2 linked regions of the Notamacropus eugenii genome follow. The main gene of each other region encodes a partner of the protein of the gene in region 2 in a complex. Links are inferred from orthologs where the notes say so. Each region holds a gene or a part of one and is shown on either strand. Other genes may lie near its edges.

Evidence for each region.
Region 1: the proteins of MIOS (region 2) and CASTOR1 are in contact, whole or in part, in a cryo-EM structure (PDB 9LVK), measured with the Homo sapiens proteins. The link is inferred for Notamacropus eugenii from reciprocal best matches to the Homo sapiens genes MIOS and CASTOR1. Residues at the interface, in NP_001357005.1 of Homo sapiens: Ala83, Asn84, Val109, Pro110, Lys111, His112, Ala113, Arg114, Asp134, Lys135, His136, Arg137, Asn184; in NP_001032755.1 of Homo sapiens: Val94, Ser116, Thr117, Tyr118, Gln119, Thr120, Asp121, Thr188, Tyr236, Leu255, Thr256, Ser257, Ser258, Ala295, Tyr296.

The regions. Positions count from the first base shown.
Region 1 is NC_092875.1:15,130,548-15,137,461, reverse strand, and holds the start of CASTOR1 (cytosolic arginine sensor for mTORC1 subunit 1), read right to left. Parts: upstream 3,018-6,914; 5' UTR 2,836-3,017; coding exon 2,723-2,835; intron 1,833-2,722; coding exon 1,762-1,832; intron 1-1,761. UniProt on the Homo sapiens protein: Functions as an intracellular arginine sensor within the amino acid-sensing branch of the TORC1 signaling pathway. As a homodimer or a heterodimer with CASTOR2, binds and inhibits the GATOR subcomplex GATOR2 and thereby mTORC1.
Region 2 is NC_092874.1:2,061,048-2,068,936, reverse strand, and holds the start of MIOS (GATOR2 complex protein MIOS), read right to left. Parts: upstream 3,014-7,889; coding exon 2,906-3,013; intron 2,685-2,905; exon of another isoform or gene 2,612-2,684; intron 2,484-2,611; coding exon 1,151-2,483; intron 901-1,150; coding exon 802-900; intron 1-801. UniProt on the Homo sapiens protein: As a component of the GATOR2 complex, functions as an activator of the amino acid-sensing branch of the mTORC1 signaling pathway. The GATOR2 complex indirectly activates mTORC1 through the inhibition of the GATOR1 subcomplex.

The DNA.
Region 1 (6,914 bases), on a different chromosome or scaffold from region 2:
AGGCCATACCAGTAACCTGAGCAGGACTCCAGGGACCCAAATCCCCAGCCTGAAGAGGGCTAGAAGACAAGTCACAAGCACGGCAAAACAGACCAGACCCTGAAAGAGCAGACTTAGAAAAGGCCAACTATACTCATTTTCCCAGTAACTGGAGAGAGTCAATGTTCGTGACTAGGTAAAGTCAGCATAGTAAAAATGGCAACAGTAACAAAACTGACCTATATTATCCACCAAAGCAGCAATGGATACAATATATCCCCATGGCTGTGAGTTCTACCTCTTGAAATAACTTGCATTGCTTTGCATTTACTTCACTGTGTACATCAAATCAAAGTAAAAAGATATTTTGTGGGGCAGCTAGGTGACACAGTGGATACAGTATCCTGCTCTGGAGTTCCGAGGACCTCAGTTCTAATCTGGTATCAGACGCTAACTAGAGGTGTTACCCTGGCCAAGTCATCTAACCTCGATCGCCTCAAAAAAAAAAAAAAAGGAAAAAATACTTCACCAACCTTAAATAGCATTATAAACGTTAATTATCATTACTATGTGCTAACCTCCCCCCGTACAATATAAATTCCTCAGAGGGCAGATGTTTTATTTTTGTCTTTATAACCCCTTTAGTAGTAGAGCATGTGCTTGATAAGTTTATGGAATCACTACTACTTTGCAACTGATAAGAGAGAGATGAACAGAGCACCTGGGTTCAGATCTCAGCTCTGCCCCAGGGAATTCCCTGTGAGACCTTGGGCATGTCCCTTTCCAACTTAGGGTGTCAGTTTCCTCATTTGTAAACAGAAAGGTTTGCACCGGATGCCTTTGGAAGTTCTCTTCACTCTAGATCTTGTCATTCTTCTCCTGACTTCATTTGTGGTCAGTGCCTGGGACTGAGAGCCTGGGCACCTAGGGCCTGCTCCTGGATGGGCCCCTTGTGGGGAAGTTAAGCCAGGCAGAAGGCACAGGGCAAGCAGCACCCCCAAGCACTAGGCCCTAGGCCCTGTCTCTGAGGTCACAACAGGAAATAGAAAGGGGGGGGAAGGCAGGCAGCTTCCAGTGGAGGGATCAGGCTCATCTACACCACATCTAGCCCACGTGTTGGGTCCAGACTTGGAAAATCTTGCATTTCATCTGTCTCCATCACCTGCTGGTTCCCATTTACCCCCCAGACCTCCCAGGCCCTCAGCTGATACTGGATTGATTGCAAGATGTCACCCTGGAGTGGAGGGAGCAGAGGTGGATGTGGGGGACCTCTGAAAACAGCAATTATCAGAACCTTCCAGTGCCAACGTGCCCCAAGGGGGCACAGGACATGGAGTCTGGTGGGTAAAGTGCTTTGCGCTCTCTTAAAGCTCCCCATAGCTGTGTGCTATTATTAATATTTTACTAAAAAGGAAACTGCAATCTTGGGAAAGGAAAGTGACTTAGCCAGTATCACAAAGCCACAGCAGAACTGAGATCCAAAGGGAACAGGTACCACAAGGCTGCCCCAGAACGTCCTGGACACTGTGGCTCACCCCCTCTCCAGGGTACTTCCAGTCCATTCTGGGATAGCTGGGGCAGGGACCCAGGTGCTGCTCAGATCCATTTTACTGGGCCCTGCTGCATCCACCCTTCTCTCCTGCCCCAGCCCCGGTCCACCTGTCTTAAGCATTCTGATGACAGTGTGTGCCTGGCCCACACAGGCCAGCCAAGGGGTGCCCCTTGGAAGAGTCTGGGGGAGAGGGCCTCAGGAGACCAGGAGGAGAAACTGGAACCCAGTACCTTGGTATCCTTCTTCATCCAGCATTAGGGTGTAATCTTCAGGGGTTTCTGTCAGGCTGAAAAACTTGCACCTAAGGAAAAGGGACCACTCCATGAGCCAAGGCAAGGCACTCCCTCATCCCCCCTGGATCCCAAAGTCCAGAGGCAGAGGGGAGGGAGGAATGGCAAAGGAAGGGCCAGACTCAAAGAAAGTGAGTGGACTCTGCCCAGGCTCCAGTCAAGCAGAACCGATTGGGTCCTCTGGAAACCCTTGCCCATGAGGAGAGGGTGAAGGGGAATGATGGGTACAGGGGATACCGGCTGTTCCCTAAGCTCACCCCAGAATCCCCATCCTGGGGAAGGAGGCATACAAGCCAGTCCTTTGGCTACTAGTGCAGGGGAAGGAACCACTTCCCAAGCAATTTCCCAAGAGCTGGCGAGGGTGACCCCTGCTGGTACTCATCCCTCTGACCCACTGACCCAAAGAATGCTGGAGCTGAGAGGCCCCTTAGAGATTAGAACAGCTCACAGCGGCCCACTCCCTCATTTTACCGGAGAGCAAAGTGAGGCCCAAGGAAGGTCAGCCCGCTACCATGCAGCCCAGGTGGTGCCTGAACTCAGACTTCACAGAATGCCCCAAGTGGGCTGGAAGAGCCACCATGAAGGCAGTGACGTTCAACACCTCCCCCCGCCCCGCCCCCGTTAATACAGCGAGTCTAAGAACAAGGACAAGTCCAAGCAAGCTGGGGGGTGGGGAGGGGCGGCTTCGGGGCGTCTCTGGACAAGTCACTACAGTCTCTCCGCATCTCAGTGGCCCCTTCTGTACAGTGGGGATAATAAGGGCCTGCCGAGGTGGCTCGGGAATCGAAGGCGATAGTGGGGCTGGAAGGCGAGAGGGAGCGAGGTGGTCCCCAGCCTTACCCCCAGACCCACCCAGAGCCCGAGCTGGGGGAGGGGCCCCCTCCTCTGGCCTCAGCCTTACCGGCTCCGCTGGCGCAGGAAGAGCAGCTTGACAAGCGGGTGCGTGTAGAGCCAGAGTCCGGGGCGCGCGATGCTCAGCACCCGGACCCGGTGCTCCAGGATGTGCAGCTCCATCGGGGGCCCGGGAGGCCGGGGGCTGGGAGCTGGGAGGGGGCCGCTGCGGCTGCGGCTGCGGCTGCGGCTGCGGCTGCTGCTGCTGCGGCTGCTGCTGCTGCTGCTGCGGCTGCTGCTGCCGGGCCCCTCAGCCGCCCAGCCAGCGCCAGGCCCCGGGCCCTCCTCCGCCAGAGGCTGCCCCAGCTCCGGCTCCGCTCGGCCCCGCCCCCGGAGTGCCCGCCCCCGTCACGCCCCCTCGAAACTCCCTAGGCCACGCCCCGGGCCTCGTAACGCTGGGGTTCAGCCAATACCCTAGCCAAAGCCTCGGGGCCACGCCCCCCCGGCTGGCCCATCTGGAAGGGGTGGAAGTACCGGGGTGAGGAGGCGGGCCCCACGCGCGTCCCGGGGGCCACGCAAAGCCACGTCCAGGAACCCTAGGAGGCTGCCTCGGAGTGGAAGGGCTCCGCGAGGATCGGTCTGGGCAGGGTGGTCCAGGCCACACCCAGGTGGGGTGATCCAGCCTCCAGACGGTGTGGCTGGGGAAGGGGGGCAGAGAACAGGCCCAGAACAGACCCCCAGCTCCGCTCTCCCAACTTACTCGGTTCGACGGACCCTCCCCCTCTCCAATAAGGGCAGGGGCGGACTTGGGGCCACAGGGCACTAGATTCCTGGTGGAGCACGCCGACCCACCCCCTCGTCTGAGTGTGAAACCTCCCTCCCACCCAAATACAGAGGTCACAGGCCCAACGTCCTCATTTTAGGGGCTCAGAATGGGAGAAGGGCCAAAGACCCCAAAGTGCTTCCCAAGAGCTGCATCCAGGTCCCCAGGGGCTCTTTCCAGTGCTGATCCCCCTCTCCCACCTTTTACTGTCGGTAATCGGTACGTTTTCCCCACCTTCCCAGAGCTCAGTCCACAGCGGATTCTAAGTGAAATGGATGAATACCATCCGTAAAGTAAAATCCAGAGGAAAAACCATAAAGAAGGCAGTTTGGGGGAGAAAAATGGAATATATACCAGTATGTGTTTGAAGATGGGCCAGAGATGGCAGATGGGTTTCGCCTTCAAGGACAAGAGTTCTCCTATTTCTCGGTTAGAAAAGGGGAAGGCATTCCAGGGTCTTCCCATTGGTCCAAGGGCAGGCAAGGAGTATTGAATTCTGCTCTTCACACACAGGGTCATAAAGACCAAACCCACCCTCCTTCCCCCAAGAATCTCCCTCTTGCCCAGCCACCTCCCAGATCCCTTCCGTCAGACCCAGAGCCTAAACGTGATAGAACCAAGGAAAAATTCTTGACTCCCAGGCCAAGGATCAAATTTATGTTATCTAATCCCCATTAGGCTCCCTCTGCTGGCATCTGATCTCTCTATTCGTCTTTAATTGACTGTTCAAAACCTCCTTCAGCCTCCCAGGATGCCAGGGCTTCTCCTCCTGCCCACCCCCACTCAGCAGAGGGCCTCCTCTTTGTACAAAATAAGATCTTCCTTCTTTTCTACCCCAGCCCTCCTTCATTCTCCTCAGGGATTTTATCTGATCCCATCTTCCCCTCTGAAGGACCCACCCGGCCCCCTCGAGAGTGCCCCATTCAAGCCCCACCCTCTCCAGGCTCCTCCCTCTCAGCCATCAACAAATTCTCCACAGTCCTCTCAGCTTCAGAACTTTCCACTTGACAGCTCCACTCCCTCAAGCTATCAGCTTCCAATCTCTCCTCCCTCCTTTCACAGCCAAACTCCAAAAACTTCTGCCCTCTAAGAGCCTCCCACTGTCTGATCAGTCCTGTGCAATCTGGCTTCTACCGCCCCCAGCCAAATGAAACGGCCCCCTCCAAGTCTACCCAGAAGTCCCGTAGCGGGTGTGACAATGCTCTGCTCCTGCTCAGTATCTCCACCATGCCTGGCCTCCAGCGTCTATCACCCAATTCCCCTGAGGTTTCCTAGGATCCGGACCTAGAAGAGACCTCAGGGGCAGGTCTGTAGGGAACAGAAGTTCAGGGCCTCTGACCCAACCTCTAAGGTTCTTTCCAGGGACGAACAATTATCTTTACTTTATAGATAGCAAAGCACATATTGTGCACGCGCAAAGGAAAGATCCCTACGACCAAGTTTGCCCAGAGCACAGATCTCATACTTATTGAAAATCTCATTTTCTTTCCTCTTCCTACCCACTTTCTATGGATCCAACTCAGTCCTGTTGTCTTCCAGTTTCCCAGGCTCTAAGTCCTCTATGAATCCGCCATGTTCCCCCACCCACTGGACGCCTCACATCTGTTTAGTTGGCCATTGTACTTCTCCATCTCTCAGGGGCGCCCCTCTTCACCCAATGACACCAGTTCAAACCTATATGAAGTCTGGCATGTCTAAAGAGGATGAGCATCCTCTGGGGCGAGGACTTGCCAAGTGGCCATTCATCCATCCACCTTTGGTGCCCACCTGCCACTCAACTGTCACTTGTGACACCAAGAAGCATGTAGAGGAGCCACATCCCGGTAAAGCCATCTCAGCAAATAGGTTAAACCAGGCTGAGGGTCAGTGATGGGCTTCAATCGCATCAGGGAGTCAGAATGTCCACCCCAAGTACGTGAAAACTCCGCTCCCCCCCAATCCCCAAGAAGCAGGTACCGTGAAACTCAGCTGTGGGAAATAAGACTTCCCTGAACAATGGCGGGATAACAATTTGTTCTAAAGATGAAGTGGAGCACTTAAGAGCTTGGTCACTGCTTGTCTTCTCGATTTTTGTCCTGCCCCTGGACCCCGACAACTCAGGGAGTATGGTTGACCACTTTGTGCCTGTCTGCTTCACTTAAATCCAATTCACGTGGGGGTCATCACTCTGGGATGTCATTGGTCCTTTTAAAAAAAGACCAGTCTCAGGGCTATTACGATAGCCTCCTCACTGGCCTCCCTGCCTCCAGCCTCTAAACCTCCCTCCATGTCTTAAAGATAATCACTAGGACTCCACTGGTTCCCTAATTCCGAATTCTGGGATGAAATATACATTCCTCGGGTTGAACATCTTTCCCAACTAGCCCAGTCTACTTGTTTTTGCATCCTCTGTCCAAACCCTCCATTCCAGACAAAATGACCTGTTCTACACTTTCCCTGGAATTGGATAATCTCTCTCCAGTCTTTGCAAAGGCTCTATCTATCCTGCATGCTTAGGACTTACTTCCAATTGACCTTCACCTCATAAGAAGCCTTTGTGAAGATAAAAATGAGATACTTGTAAAACATTTAGCACAGTGGCTGGCATATAATCAGCACTTAACCAATCTATAGTTTTCCTGATTCCAATTATTTATTGATCTGAGTAGCTGCTATTACTCCAGCAACTTATATGGCTCCCTATTACCCCCAGAAATCAGTCAATCTCACTCTTTACAGACTGGATCTAACCTACCTTTTCAGCCCCAAACTGGCTTTCTGGTTGGTCCAGACATAACCCCCAACTCCAATGATCGGTTTTTACCCAGGCTGTCTTCCCTACCTGGAAAATTCTACCTCCTCACCCTTTTTTCACATGCCATGTTCTCCCAGATGTCTCTGCTAGTCACCCCAACTTATACTTTCTGCCTCACCCTTCCCCCACATCCAACCACCTTGTATCCCAGAATCCCCTGCTATACAGGGTACCCCAAAAGTCTGGGTGACATTTTAAAGTTTTACTCGGTTAAAACTGCACTAAGACTTTTGGGACACCTGTCTATCTGGATGTGTTTCCCCAACAATTTGAGCAGGGCTTGCCTCACTTCTAGCCTTTGTATCTCCAATAACATAGCAGTGACCAGAACATAAAAAATGATTAATAAATTTGTCAATTGATGGAACAATATTAATAATTCCATTATCCTCAGTGGAATAGTTCATTGAAGACTGAGACTTTCCTGTTTTTGTCCATGTGTCCCCAATGGTTGACATGGTAGGAGCTTCATAAATGAATCCAAAGATGGGGCCAACAGGGGTAACAGTATCCAAGATGCCTGGAGGTCCTAATTCTCCTCCGCAGATCCAGACTTAGGGTCACTGTGGATGGGAGCATGATTAAGGTCCATTCCCAAGACCAGTTTCTATACCCACAGCCCACCCCATGGATCAGACATCTAAC
Region 2 (7,889 bases):
CAGCCATGCCCAGCTGCTGTCCGAGGGCGAGGTCCCGGCACCCCATGAGCTTGAGGGTTTGAGGGTCTGCCTGAGTGAGCCATCAGTTCCTTCTGTGGTGAAGTCACATGGGCATGGGGTGGGGGGCACAGGACAGCTGTTTGAAAATAAAACTTTTTCACAACAAACTAATTATTTCACTGATGTAAAAAAGGTAAATAAATAAGGCAGCTAGGAAGCTTCCCCCACCCCTGGGGGCACCAAGAAATGAGGACACTTGCTCAGCCTGTATCAGGAGCAGGACTTGAACCCAGGACTTCCTGCTTCTCTGTGTACTGACATACTGTCTCTCTTCATAAAGGTTAAATCCTCGGGATTAAATGAAAAGTCTCACTCTTAATACAAAAGGAAAATAATTTTAAAATTCTCAGGTAGAAAATGACTTTCCTGTTTCAGGCTCTGCCCTGACAGCCAACATGGTGAAGGAAGGGAAGGTGGGGGCAGGGCAGAGAGCTTAGGAAAATGCTTGCCTTCAGGGGGGGTTCCTGGCAAGGCTAGTTCCAAAGGAGCTCATCCAGCCCCAACTAAGGGAGCCTCAGCTTGGGCCCACCAAGAACCGAGGGTTTCAATGGTTCAAGTCGAAGGGAAGACCCACCAGCTACCACCTCCCCGCAAAAGGTTACTTGAGAAGAAATCCTAACCAAATCGTTAACTCAGTATCATTTACTGAAATAGATACATCAAACCCCACCATGTTACCCACTGTGTAAAGAACACTCCAAAATGGTTAAATATATTTGTAAGAGAAAGGGCCGTCCTTACCCAAGGATGACTTCACGATGGTTTTAATACCTGCATACACCAGTGACCCTTTGTGGCCTAGAGATTTCGGGTCCAAATCTTCAGTGTACTGCTTCATAAGTATTGAAATGCATAGGAAATACTAAGGCTGGCTTGGAGGAAGTTTCCTTTTGAATGAGGGCCAATCAAGACAGAACTGGTGTCTGGGCTAAGGCCACTCTAATGCCTTATCCAGACCCCTCTCTCCCTCCCACACACTAAAAGCAGCTGGGGAGGCCCCCGTCCGCCAGATACAAGGCACTTCTCTAGACAGCACACTGCCAATCTCCGCTGGCCCTCACGCTGTCAGGGTTTTCATTTCAAAGGATATAGTACAGAGTATACCAGAGTGATTTTAGTTGAGGGTCCTCGTTTCCAGCTAATACGTGGTTTCTCCAGACCTGCTCGGTATCAAGGCCGTAGCGGGACAAAGCCCGGAGGCGCATCTTGGTGGCAATGTCTTTTTCTAAAGAAGGATCGCTCCCCTCTTCGGTGCACTCATAGAGATGACGGCCACAGGCCCACATTAAGGAGGTGACTGGACTCCAGGCAAGGGAGATGCGTTCAAACACGGTGAAGTCTGACATGATTCGGTTGGGCGTCACCACGATCATTCGATTCTGGCTGGTCGGATGCCAGGCGAAGGAAGCAATGTAATTGTCGCAGGGCTGCACACTGCGCTCGATGATGGTCGGTTCGGTTTCGTCTCCGATGGGTGTGGGTGTGTGCTGCATGTCATACAGCCTGATGATGTCGCTGTCCCTCGTGAGGGTGGCCAGCAGCCCCGTCCTTGTGGGGCACCAGGCGACTTTAGTGAGAGGCTTGGGCTGCTCTGTCAGGGTCAGAACGGGCTTCTCAAATTTCCTAAGGTCCCAGATGGCCACCTGACCTTCGTAGAAAGAAGCCACGCGGTCGTGGAAGTGGGGGTCCACCATCACTCCCTGGACAGCTTTGGTGTTCACAAACATCTTTTGGCTCGTGTTCCGAAGGTCGAATATAGCCAGGTTCCTATGCATGCCAGCAAGGAGAAGTTTTTGGTCTCGGGGCAGCCAGCAGAGAGACAGACAAGCGTCATTCTGTCCCAGTTCATAAAGAGGCTTTGTCACCACCAGCCCTGCCTCAGTGTCTCCTGCTGAAAGCCTCACTTTCTCCAAAGGAACTGTCGTTTCCGGGCTGTACTTGCTACAGATATCCCAGATCAGCACAGAGAAGTCAGCCCGATGTTTGTCTAGGCCAGCGGCGAGCCAGTTACTGTCCAGCGGGTTCCAGGCCAGGGTGTTGCACTGCCGGGCATGTTTGGGGACAAACTCCTTTCCTATCAAATCCTTGAACTTGGAGTTGTGGTCCTGGCCCAGACTGGTGAGAACCACGCGGCCGTTGGCCTGGCCCACAGCCAGCAGACACTCGGGGTCGTAGCTGAGGTACCAGGCCACGCACTTCATGTAGGGAGTGTCCGAGTTGATGGACAACAAGGTGGCCGCTGTGTCCTCCGACAACCTCAAGGAGCCGGCTTTGAGCTCGGAGCTGCCCGCTGGCTCCACCTGGTACAGGCTCAGCTCCGAGTCACACACCACGAATCTGTCCACCTGGTGCGGTGCCCACAGGATGTCTGGCTTGGACCCACTCATGACGGCTGGCCTCCCGATGAGGTCCTGCGGGAAATCCTGGGCAGAAAACGAGCCTGCGGTCAGAGTGGCCCCCACCACCTGCCACTCCCCAGTGACCCCCTCCCTCCCACCTGAGGGTCATCTGGAGGGTCAGGACAAGCCTGGCCTCGGGCCCGGCTCCTCACCTGTGCGTGGCACACAGCAGGTGCATACTTAGTGTTGGTTCCAGTCCCAGTTCCATCTCCTTGAGCCTTTACTCAAGTTCAGAATTACAGGGGACGGCATGGGCCCGAGAGAACCAAGGGTCCGGTGGCGGGAGACAAGGAGCACGGACCGGGGGAGCCCGGGATGGGAGGGAGCAGCCGCGCCCCACGCCTCTCTCCCCGGGCCCTGCCCCCACCCCGCCCCAGGGAGGAAGCGCTGGCTCCAGAAGGCCCTGCAGCGGCCCCATCAGAGCCCCGGGCACCTTGCGGACTCACCTGGCGCAGGAGCCCCGGGAGGACTCCACTCCGTCCGGCGGCCTCTGGCGGGGCCTCTGCGCACGCGCCCAGCCCACTACGGAAGCCGCGTGGGCCAGAGAAAGTCATCGGGCATGCGCGCCCGCCTCCACCCCCGCCTTTCTGCGCATGCCCACTTCCCACTTCTCTTTCTGGTTCTCGTGAGTTGGGGCAGAACCTGGACTTGTGCCCGCCCCACCGGGCCCCGCCCCTCCCTCCAGGCCCGCCCCTCCCTCCAGGCCCCGCCCCCTACGGACTCAGCATCACTACCCTTCGCTTCAGGCCCTGCCTACCGTCCCGCCCCTCGCCCCAGGCCCGTCCCCGCACCATCCCTTCCCCCCTCGTTCTCTTGTTACTGCTGGGGAGGGTGGGGGACCGTGTGACCCCCAGCCCAAGGAAGGTCTGGGCTGGGAGGGGGGTCTCGAGCTCGGCGTCAGTTTCCCCCTCCTTCCCCTGCCTCCAGCCAGAGTGGCCTCCTCCCCACGACACACACAGACACAGACACAGACACACACGACACACACTCACACACAGTCACACACACTCACACACAGTCACACACACTCACTCACAGTCACACACACTCACACACAGTCACACACACTCACTCACAGTCACACACACTCACACACAGACACAGACACGACACACACTCACTCACAGTCACACACACTCACTCACAGTCACACACACTCACACACAGACACAGACACGACACACACTCACACACAGTCACACACACTCACTCACAGTCACACACACTCACACACAGACACAGACACACACAGACACAGACACACACACGACACACACACACAGTCACACACACTCACACACAGACACAGACACACACACAGTCACACACACTCACACACAGACACAGACACAGACACACACAGACACACAGACACACACGACACACACTCACACACAGTCACACACACTCACACACAGTCACACACACTCACACACAGACACAGACACACACACAGTCACACACAGACACACACACTCACACACAGACACAGACACACACACACAGACACAGACACACACGACACACACTCACACACAGTCACACACACTCACACACAGTCACACACTCACACACAGTCACACACACTCACACAGAGACACAGACACACACACAGTCACACACAGTCACACACAGACACACACACTCACACACAGACACACACACTCACACACAGACACAGACACACACACGACACACACTCACACACAGACACAGACACACACACGACACACACTCACACACAGTCACACACACTCACACACACTCACACACACACACAGACAGACACACACACACAGACACACACACTCACACACAGACACAGACACGACACACACTCACACACAGTCACACACACTCACACACAGACACAGACACACACACGACACACACTCACACACACACACACACAGACACAGACACACACACGACACACACACACAGTCACACACACTCACACACAGACACACACACAGTCACACACAGTCACACACACACAGACTCACTGACACAGACACACACACTCACTCACAGTCACACACACTCACACACAGTCACACACACTCACACACAGACACAGACACACACACAGTCACACACAGACACACACACTCACACACAGACACAGACACACACACGACACACACTCACACACAGTCACACACACTCACACACAGTCACACACACACAGACACAGACACACACACGACACACACTCACACACAGTCACACACACTCACACACAGTCACACACACTCACTCACAGTCACACACACTCACACTCAGACTCACACAGACACACACACTCACATACAGACACAGACACAGACACACACGACACACACTCACACACAGTCACACACACTCACACACAGTCACACACACTCACTCACAGTCACACACACTCACACACAGACACAGACACAGACACACACAGACACACAGACACACACGACACACACTCACACACAGTCACACACACTCACACACAGTCACACACACTCACAGTCACACACACTCACACACAGACACAGACACACACAGACACACACAACACACACTCACACACAGTCACACACACACACACAGACACAGACGCAGACACACACGACACACACTCACACACAGTCACACACAGACACACACTCACACACACTCACACACAGACACAGACACGACACACACTCACACACAGACACAGACACACACAGTCACACACAGTCACACACAGACACACACACTCACACACAGACACAGACACACACACGACACACACTCACACACAGTCACACACTCACACACAGTCACACACACTCACACACAGACACAGACACAGACACACACGACACACACTCACACACAGTCACACACACTCACACACAGTCACACACACTCACTCACAGTCACACACACTCACACACAGACACAGACACGACACACAGTCACACACACTCACACACAGTCACACACACTCACACACAGACACAGACACACACAGACACAGACACACACAGACACACACACACAGTCACACACACTCACACACAGACACAGACACCCACACAGTCACACACAGTCACACACAGACACACACACTCACACACAGACACAGACACACACACGACACACACTCACACACAGTCACACACACTCACACACACTCACACACACTCACACAGAGACACAGACACACACACAGTCACACACAGTCACACACAGACACACACACTCACACACAGACACAGACACACACACGACACACACTCACACACAGACACAGACACACACACGACACACACTCACACACAGTCACACACACTCACACACAGTCACACACACACACAGACTCACACAGACACACACACTCACACACAGTCACACACACTCACACACAGACACACACACTCACACACAGTCACAGACACACACGACACACACTCACACACAGTCACACACACACACACAAACACACACACACAGTCACACACACACAGTCACACACATACACACAAACACACTCACACAGTCACACACACAGACTCACACACACACACTAACACACAAACTCACACACACACTCACACACTCACACATACATACACTCACTACAAACACAGTCACACACACAGACACACATTCACATACACAGACACACACACACACACACACTAACACACAAACACACACACACTCACTACACACAGTCACACTCACACACAGACACACTCACACAGACACACACACTCACACACTCACAGACACACACAGATACACTCACACTCACACACACTCACACTCACACACACTCACACAGACACACAAACTCACACTCATACCCCACCCACTCCACTCTGGAATCTAGCCCAATGCAAGGCACACAGCAGGTGCTCCATAAATGTCCCTAAGAGCAGAATGACTGAATGGAAGGAGGCCTCACCAGCGCAGCCAGGCGAGGTTCCCTCCATTCCAGCCTCCTTTTGCTGCCTGCCTGTTCTTGGGCCTTCTGAGCCCTGGGGGTGGGGGTTGGGGTGGGGGGCCTCCCGACCCAGAACCCTCCACCATATCAGACTCAGACTTGGCCCTTCAGTCAATGCCCACTAGGTGGTGCCCAATCCATTCCAAGATGGCCCAGCCTAGCCCTGGTCAGGGGCAATTGGTGGGAATAATGGGAAGGCTCTTGGCCTTTGGAGACGTGCTCAGGCTGGCCAGCCGGAGCTCAGGACCCAGTTCAGAGAAGGGAGAGCCAGGGGGCCAAGGCTAGGATATGCATCAGCCAAACAATGAGAGGTGGGCCTTAATGAAACAGCACAAGGGGCGGGGGGACCCTTCTTCAGTAAGACAGGTGTTCGAGGAAGCTGGCCCCACCTCTCAAGTGCCCCTACTGCTGGACAGGTCTTGGTGGCAGATGCTGTGGCCAGTCTTCAGCCCCCCCTTCCTCACTCCCCTCCCCCACTCCCCCCTGCACTGGTCCTCTGGGCTGGCCAGAATCACTGGGATGCTGCCTGTCGGCAAACCCTTCCAGCCTGGGCTCTGAGGGACCTTGAGGATGGAAGGAAGAGGGACTTCCAGTGGAGGTTGGGGGTGGGGGTACTCTGTCCTTTCCCAAGATGCTTCCCTCCGCTTCCCTACCTCTTTCCTCCAGGACAGGAGCAGCCTTCCACTAAGTCTCCCTACCTCTGGTCTCTCCCCTCCCTCCTCCCAGCCCACCCTGTGCTCAGATCCCAAGATTATCTTGTTAATTGCCCAGCTACCTTGGTGACAGGTGATCTCCCTCTTCATCTCTGCCTCTATTTCCCTCCAAGACCCAACTCAAAAAACACACGTATTGCAGGAGGTGCTGAGACTGCCTTCTCCTTGCTCCATATCCAGGTCTATGGTTCTATTCACCTCCATTTATGACTCCCCCATAATAATGACATTCCTAGAGGAAGGGGACTGTCTCCTCAGTACTTGGCAGAGGGAGTTTTAATGAATGTTTCTTGACTAAGTAACTGATGTTACCCTTTTGCTCAATAACCTTCCTGGCTCCCTATTACTTATCAAAATAGGAACTCCTTGGTTTGACATTCAAGGCTCCTCAAAATCTAGCTCCAACCTATAATTTCCCCCTACATATTCTTTTTATGCTTCAGTCAAATTGGGTGACTCCTTGTTCTCCTGCCTTCTCCTGCTCTGTGTATACCATCTCCCTAATCTGGACCTTGTCTCCCCCAGAACAGTCACTGTCCCACCCTGTGTATCACCAAGGCAATATTCACAGCACTGGTGGTGACCATGAACATATCAGCATAGTTCTCAATCACCAAGTATAGACTCTCCACATAGAAGGCAGAAGAAAAACATTTACTTAAACACCAGAAAGCCAAATCCGTCATGGTGACCAAAAAGTTAATAAACATGATCACAGCAGAGGGCAGAGTCATTCCCAAG